Linked DNA regions of Danio rerio. The protein of the gene in region 1 binds, or shares a complex with, the protein of each later gene. Links are inferred from orthologs where the notes say so. Each region holds a gene or a part of one and is shown on either strand. Other genes may lie near its edges.

Evidence for each region.
Region 2: the proteins of lman1 (region 1) and mcfd2 are in contact, whole or in part, in a cryo-EM structure (PDB 8JP5), measured with the Homo sapiens proteins. The link is inferred for Danio rerio from reciprocal best matches to the Homo sapiens genes LMAN1 and MCFD2. Residues at the interface, in NP_005561.1 of Homo sapiens: His43, Arg44, Arg45, Phe46, Tyr48, Lys49, Ser51, Phe52, Lys53, Pro55, His56, Gln59, Ser60, Asp61, Val64, Pro65, Phe66, Trp67, Lys96, Phe265, Glu273, Lys279, Glu280, Ile281, Glu285, Lys286, Tyr289, Glu292, Phe293, Phe296; in NP_001164977.1 of Homo sapiens: Val59, Ile60, Asn61, Lys62, Gln70, Glu71, Leu74, His75, Phe77, Lys78, Tyr82, Asp83, Asn86, Asp89, Gly90, Leu91, Glu92, Thr95, Thr98, His99, Val100, Leu111, Glu114, Leu117, Ile118, Ile121, Asp122, Leu125, Asp129, Lys130.

The regions. Positions count from the first base shown.
Region 1 is NC_133196.1:12,080,462-12,084,289, forward strand, and holds part of lman1 (protein ERGIC-53 precursor), read left to right. Parts: intron 1-265; coding exon 266-453; intron 454-3,828. UniProt on the Homo sapiens protein: Mannose-specific lectin. May recognize sugar residues of glycoproteins, glycolipids, or glycosylphosphatidyl inositol anchors and may be involved in the sorting or recycling of proteins, lipids, or both.
Region 2 is NC_133188.1:9,056,101-9,060,556, reverse strand, and holds the start of mcfd2 (multiple coagulation factor deficiency protein 2 precursor), read left to right. Parts: upstream 1-1,328; 5' UTR 1,329-1,444; intron 1,445-1,768; 5' UTR 1,769-1,772; coding exon 1,773-1,945; intron 1,946-3,760; coding exon 3,761-3,920; intron 3,921-4,456. UniProt on the Homo sapiens protein: The MCFD2-LMAN1 complex forms a specific cargo receptor for the ER-to-Golgi transport of selected proteins. Plays a role in the secretion of coagulation factors.

The DNA.
Region 1 (3,828 bases):
TGTTTAATCTTGTTGTTACCTCCAACATGTAACAAGTATAATTAATTTTATTCAAATTATTTCATCTTCAATTAATTTAACCATGCTTTGGGGCATTTTGGGCTCAAAATATTCCCTTTCACCATGCTGTCTCACACTTATCCCCATGTATAACTTATTCTAAATCCAGCATTACTAATTTTACCTCACTGAGTTGTTACAATTTAAAGTCGAAACCTTATATCTGTAGTGAAGCGTCATCTGTTCGGTGTTTCTCTTCTGGCAGTTGAGGACCTGTATGAAAGCGTTAACGATCGGGAAATCCGTCAGGTGTTTGAGGGGCAGAATCGAATTCACCTGGAGATCAAGCAGTTGAACAGGCAGCTGGCAATGATTCTGGACGAACAGCGGCGTTATGTGTCAGTCATCACAGACGAGATCAACAAACGCACCTCACAAGCACAGTCTGGACAGGTAGGACTTTTGAAATATGACCGAAGTGCATTTAATGACGTATTTAAAGTCCCCTGAAAACACATCAGAAACTGCTGTGAAAGTTATTTATTTATATATACAGTATATGCGCTTACATTTTCTGAATTCTAATTGTGTTACTGATTAGGAGTCCACTAGGGATAACCTTAAAAGAACATTCCACCCCAAAAGGCTCATTTTAAAAGTCCACTGGAGTTAAACCGTTGACTTGAACGATTTTGAATCCATTCAGCCAATTTCTTGTATTAATGGGGTCACTTTTAGCTTAACTTAGCATAATGCATTGAGTCAGATTAGACCATTACCGTTTTATGCAAAAAATTCAGAAAGCCAAAAAAAAAAAAAAAAAAAACTATAATAAAAGGAAATTAAAAAATTACACTTTTCTAGGTCAATATTACAGGGAACTATGCTCTCATTTTGTTGTAATATGCAAGAAATCCAGCTGCTGTAATATGGCTTCTTCAGGCAGGATGATATTGCGCAACACTTAACCATGCTTTCTTTTCTTTTTTTTTTAATGAAATGCTAATGGTCTAATCCGATTGAATTCATTATGCTAAGCTAAAACTCACCCCACCAGAACAAGAAATAAACTGAATAGGTTCAAAATAGTTAGTCAACTGTTTAACTCTTAGAAGCATTTTTCAAAAAAGGTGGCATGCTCCTTTTATATTTACACTTTTTTTTCTCCTAAGCTATTTAAAACATTAAAGCAGACAATTTTCTTGCATTTAAAATACTTTATGTATATACAGGGTTTCCGCGGGGTCTTAAGTGTAAAATTTTAAAAATCTAAATTTTAGACCTTAAGTCTTTAATTCGCAGTTCTAGGTCTTAAATATTTTTGCACAGGTCTCATTTTTCTGATGTCCATGTACCGCTTTATATAATGCTCATTTAAATTCTTTTTTTGTTGTTGTTGCTTGGTTTTTGTGGTGTTGTAGTTCTTTATTTCACTAGTCCTAATGTAATTTGCGGTATTACAACTACAAATGAGACCAACATGCAATCGCCAATCAGCTTTCTGTAATTGAACTTACTTTGAAGAGATTTTGTCTGAAAGGGGTATGACTGTAGTGTACAGACATCTTTATGATCCATTCATGCGTGATCATAAGGAGAACCAGGTGACCAGTAACTATTGGCTAGAAATTGCAACAGCAGTGGGAAAGGAGGAAAGTTTTTGTAAAAGTTTGGAAAAACCTGAAGGATACAGTAAGTTTGTTAAAGCAAAAAAAAAAGTGGCCATGCAAAAGTGGAGACCCATGTGGTTTTAATATTACAAAATATGTATTTCCACCATTCATAGGTTTTACTATAATGTATACAGCATATTACAATTTTGAAATTAAAGCAATAGTTACAAACTGAAATTATGTATCAGATAATGGCTTTGATAACTGGAAATTAATATATAAACCTATCGGTTTACAATATATTAATGCCCAATTTCTAGGCTTTATTGGTTTTTAGTCAGTGTACTTTTTGCTTTTATTCTTGCCATAATAAAAAAATATAATTGTAGAGCAACCCATGTTCTGTTGCCATGTAATTAACTTTCATAGGTAGAACTGTCCGAGATCTTAACAAAAGCAAGTGATGCATCAAAGTTTGATTTAAAAAATTTTGAATGGTTATAAAAATCTTTAAAATTATTATAATAAATTATACAAATATTTAAAAACAATTTGTTTAAAAATCTTTAATGATATGACCTAGTTCCAGAAACTTTCTACTTCTCTGTTTATCCATCTGATTTTACTGTCTGTTTCGCTTGACCGCCCCCTGTCATTTAAAAGAATATCTCAATGGCGAATGCGTCAAGTATAAAAGCCCCGTCTGTTTTGTGAGGTGCGCAATGCAGTGCCAGGCGAAAGTATAAAACAGCCTTAAGATGTTTGTTTGTTTTTTCTGTAGTTCAATGGTGCATCTAACCTGTCTTTAGTACTGTTCAATTTGAATACATTTATTTTATCACTAATTTTGTGGTTTTGCATTTTTCTGTGTATGTATGCGTGTTTTTGATATTGTGATATAGGTCTTAAATGTAATACTTAATGGTCTTAAAGTCTTAAATTTGACATTATGATATCTGCAGAAACACTGCATATAAAATCACCTTTGTATATATAAATTGATCCAGCAACCATAATGATTATCATAGCGGGAACACTTTAGAATAATGATCCATTAGTGTAATTAATGTATTTACTAACATTAAGTATGAATAGTCTTGTAAAGCATTTACTAACCATAGTTCAACATTAAATAAAATCACATCATCAGCAGCACGTGTACTATTATGAGTGAAAAGCTTAGATGCTGGCTCCAGACAGTGCAAAATACAACAACATACTCCAGAAAAGCAAAACAATATACTATTAGCAATGTTGACAGTGACGTGTAAAAGACAACAAGTACGCCAAGAAACTCGCATTACACACATTTAAGCACAGATAGACAAAAATAAAACAGTTGATATGAACCGTTTTTAATCCATTAAGACGATTTCTTGTTCTAGTAGGGTGACATTTAACTTAGCTTAGCATAACGACATAAATCAGATTAGACCATTAGCATATCATTATTATTATTTATTTATTTATTAATTTTTAAAGCATGGTTAAGTGTTCCGTAATATCACTTCTCTTGGTGAAGCCATGGTACAGCAGCTGGATTTCTTGTCTTAATTAATTATTTAACTAATGCATTATTCAAATCCAAAGTTGTGTTAAAACTAACTAATGTTATTTAATATTTAAAAAAAAAATTGGGGTCAATATTACAAGGAACTGTGCTCTTATATTGTCATAATAGGCAAGAAATCTAGCTACTCTACCATGGCTTCACCAGGAAGTAATGTTACACTGCATTTAACCATGCTTTTTAAAATTTTATGAAATGCTAATGGTCTAATCGGATTCAATTCATTATGCCAAGTTAAAATTGACCCTGCCAGAACAAAAAATTGGTTTAAGTCAATGTTCTGTTAAGGTTATCTTCCGTGTACTAATAAGCAGTAACACAATTAGAATTTAGAAAATATAAGCGCTCAAAACAGTTTCTTGCAGTTTCTGGTGTGTAATTTTCCTCCATGTTTCTAGTGGTCTCTCCAAAAGATATAAATCATTGATATGATCATATAGATCAAAGATATGATCATTATCTCTTGGAGAGAGGAATTATTTTTTTTATTTTTTTTTTTTTGCATGAAAGAAGACAATTATTAAATGTTGGCTAAAGAGAAGCCCACCTGATATGGAACTTCTTCTAAATGTTGTTTATCAAATATGTTATCTGTAAAACAATGACAATTTATTTTTATTTTTTTTTTCAAACAGTATCTCATCA
Region 2 (4,456 bases), on another chromosome or scaffold:
CTGTCCTATTTCTCTGAAATCCCCCCACTGCAAGATGACTAAATCTATTTAAGCAATTAAATCTTGTTAACTATTTGCAGGGCTGGTTGTAATAGAATTACAAGATCAAGAAAAAAAGCTGCTTCCAACATAGAGTCCGGCATGAGACTTGAGTTATGAGTCTGTTTACATGAAAATGCTGGCTATTTAATGCAAAAACGTCCACAGAATGCAAATCCTAATAAAATGAGACGCCTGTCCAGACCCCTACTGACATAATGGCCCCATCTAGTGGGCGACTTAAAATAATCCTGCTTGACAAAACTCAGCAAGACATGTACACTGAAGCCTGTAGCATACACACATCATTTTCTAATTGACAACAAAGGGCGGACTGCGGACTCTCTACTTTTTAACGTTTACAGAAACGTAAAATGTTTTGTAAAATTATTAAATTATATAGTTTTTTGCGTGGCACCGTCAGGACGTAGTTAATAAAAATCATTTTAAACTATCAAAATAATATTCATAAACTCAATAATGTATAATAATAAATCAATCATTAGCCTATATTCTACTGTTTCACAATTTAGCCAGTAAAATATACAATCAAAGGACTATAGTTGCTAGAAAACATCACGGCACGTCTACTGACTATAACGTTTCTACGATATCAACATCAAACTGAACCTCCAGCCGTCGGAAAATTGATTTGGCCCTTTCATTCTCTTTGCAGTGGTTTGCCATGCAGGTGATCGTGGTGATCTATTAACTAGCCACAAAACCATCATGAGTAACTGAAGCGCTCACTCATTCCTCTGCTGTCTGTGTGTGGATTACACCAGTGCGCTGACTTATTATGACGCTTAGTCAAATCCAATCAGCATGCAGCTGTCGTGTCCTGAAAAAAAATTTAGTTTATAGTTTATTATTCCTGAAATCTCTTTGAAATGTGAATATAATGGTTTAATAGGACGTTTAATTATGCTGGTCATATGACGTTAAGCCAATTAAAAAGCTGTTATTCCTAATTAGTTTGACACATCCAATGCCAACAAAAAATGCGATACTATTCGATTGTACTCTATAAAATGTTCTCTTTTTTTAATTATTAAAAATGATAAATTACGACTATATGAGATTTGATTTGGCTAATTATTTTATACAAAAATATAAACGTAATAAGTGAAATCCACGTCAAGAGTTTTACTTTAAATGTCATATAAGATATAACGTTGTATTTTTTACAGTATCAGCGTAGAAATAAAACAAACTAAAAATGAAACGTTGTAAAAATGTGTCCAATCAGAGTTTAGCTGTCGTGTCCATAAGGTGAAAGGCAACTACGGCAAGCGAAGCAGTCAGAAAGCGCGGCGCTGAGTAAACAACAGCAGGAGTTCGTTGTTACTCCACTGTGGCTGAACAAACAGGACGAATATTTGCCCGTCAACTGTGATTTATAACTGTGAGTAAATTATGTTTATGTTATCATGTCGCTGTATTTGTATTGATATCCTTGGACTTGAGCAACGCGAACGTGTAACAGTGACTGTTAAAGCAATGTTCAAGTTCATCCATATGTCAGCAACCATTTACCCTTAACACCACATTTATAAGAATAGATGTACGTTTTTCGTAATTGCACATATATTTAGCAAAATCTTAACTCTTAGATAAATGTGTGTTTGCTGTCACTGGTATTTATCGTTGAGGTCTGCTTTCAGCTGCAGTAATGAATGAAACTGTCATCCTAATTTCGTGCTCTCCCATCATTGTCTTGTGATTTCAGTGTAATGAGATTGAGAGAAATATCTGGGCAGCTCAGACTATGGAGCTGGTTCCTGGTCTGCTCCGGCTGTATGCTGTCTGTATGGGCCCATGGAGGACAACATGGAGAAGCAGTTGGCTCAAATCAAGTGCCCCCACCAATCACCCGCTTGGACAGGAACATGGTTCAGGATAGAGAGTACGTTTTCTTTCTTTCTTACATTCAAAATTGTAGGTTTCAAATAACGTTAGGTCTTAAAGTCTATGCATGTAGCACTTATTAATACTGAAAATAATGTTTTATGAGTAGCAACACATAATATTCAATGTATTTCCGAAGGACAGTGAAGAATCCAAATGATGTTGAAAACTAGGCTACATCCAACAATAAAACATTTTAAATTGTAATGAAACGTAAGCTTTAGAGTATTTTGATCAAATACATGAACCCTTGGTGAGCTGACTTCTTTTTAAAATATTTTAAAAGCCTGTTCTGCAGATATATAGATTGCATCAAATTCATGATGAAACCTGTCCTGTACCTGATTTGATGCACTCTTTTCCAAATTCCAAATGACCCCTGTGGCAGAGCAGCTTGACCTGATCTCTGTATTTCAGCAAATATGTTGGAAAATCAAAGGTTGTAATAAATCTCTCTCTTTATCTCTTAATATTTATTTATCTATCTATATCGATCAATAGGTATCTGAACTACAAGTTAAAATATTTTTTAAAAAGCTTATTCTGCTCACCAAGGTTGCATTTTATTTGATCAAAATACTCTAAAACTGCCAAATTGAAATAGTGTTACAGTTCAAAAGGAATGTTTTCTTGAATACAGTTTTCAACATCATTACTCTAGTCTTCATTGTCCTTCGGAAATCCTTTGAATATGCTATTCTGCTGCTCAAGAAACATTAATTTTATCAGTGTTTTAAGAAATGCTTGTAAAACCTTTTGTCACAATAACAGTTCTGTAACTCTAGTAAAGTTAAGGAGTCAAAACCCTGATTTTCAATTGCAACAAATGAAAACACTTGTTCTGTTGTTTTCTGGAAAAAAAAGAAAGTAAATGTTTTAAAAGGCATTTTATATTCAATATCTAAGTTTTAAGTACATGCTGTTCTTTATTTATGCAGTATAAAGGCTATCAGTAGATGTGTTTACAAATTCTTGCCAGAATTAATAATTTTGTGAACGTGAATCCTCAGATTTCTAAATGCATGTTAGGCATGGGCAGTATAAGATTCTGATAGTATGAAAACCTTGGATATCACGGTTTCACACTATCATGGTATTGTGATTGCTACTATAAAATTTTCTTTTTTAAATATCTGGTAAAAAAAAACAAAAAAATTTTTTATTTCCATTGAATGCAATATTTTTTATAAAAAAAAAACATTTGAAATAGTTTGGAGCAGTAAACGTGTCAAGCAAAATAATTAAAATAAACTTAACTTCTGTTTTCTTCATTAGTTTAAAAACAATTTGAAACTCTTTGTACAGTTCAGGTCCATAGCATGTTTGTATGTTGGTTTATAAGCAATAAGCAATGTTTCCTGAATAGTGGGCAGACCAACAGCTTTTGCTGTTGAGGGTCCTTTTCTGCTGGAGATACTAAATAAATGGTAATAAAAACTTGTATAAAAAAAAAAAAAAAAAAACCTTACATGTACTTTAGAAACGGTATAACAGAAAAAAATTACGGTTTTAATACTTTGACTTTTCCAAACCGCTGTCAACCTTGACACCGGTTATCTTCCCATGCCTAATGCATGTAGATGTTATTGTGTACTATTTATTTATGCCTGTTTCATTTTTAAAAATCTCTATTGTTTATTCTAAAAATAATCATCACAGTTGCATTTTAATACAAAGAAAAAAAGTCTTTTATTGCAACAGAATGACTGTCCCAAAGGTCACCATTATCAACTGAGGCTGATCATTTTAAAATCTCTGCTAAGTACCAATATGATTCTCACTGCATTTGAACCTTTCTTGTGTTCCGCTGTAGGCATATCATGGAGCATTTAGAAGGGATTGTTGAAAAGCAAGAGTCAGAAATGACACCTCAAGAGCTGCAGCTGCACTATTTTAAGATGCACGATTATGATGGCAACAATCTGCTGGATGGACTTGAGCTTGCCACTGCCATTACACATGTTCATAGGGAGGTGTGTGTGCTTTGATATTAAACTTGACATTATTCTATGTACTTTACAAGTTTAAAGTTTGGACAAATTATTCTTTAATGAGTATTGCATTTATTCATATTAACATTCTACTGACAGCAATCCATATTTGTTTCATATACTGTGTTTTTTTTTTTTTTTTCAAACCCCACTTTCAAAGTGATTTGGTTAAGGGAGGGAAATCCTTAAAAATGCTTGAATTTTAAACTAGTAAACTATTTTAAAAATTAAGATAAAACATTGTATATTTAATATGCTAAAGATAGTAACTTAATGTTGGCCTTGGCATAAAAATGCCATCTAATAGTTTCTTAGAATACTGTACTATATAATAAAATTCTGATTATCTGATAAAATGTGATGAAGTATGTATGTAATTTGCCAGACTTGTAAAGCGCTGGAAAATTTCAAAGATGCACCTGGAAAGTGCTTAAATTTGACTTTGGAAAAGGTGTAAGAACCCTGTATTTATTAGAGAAGAGATGGGGAATGTTACCTCAAACTGCAGTCAAAAATGT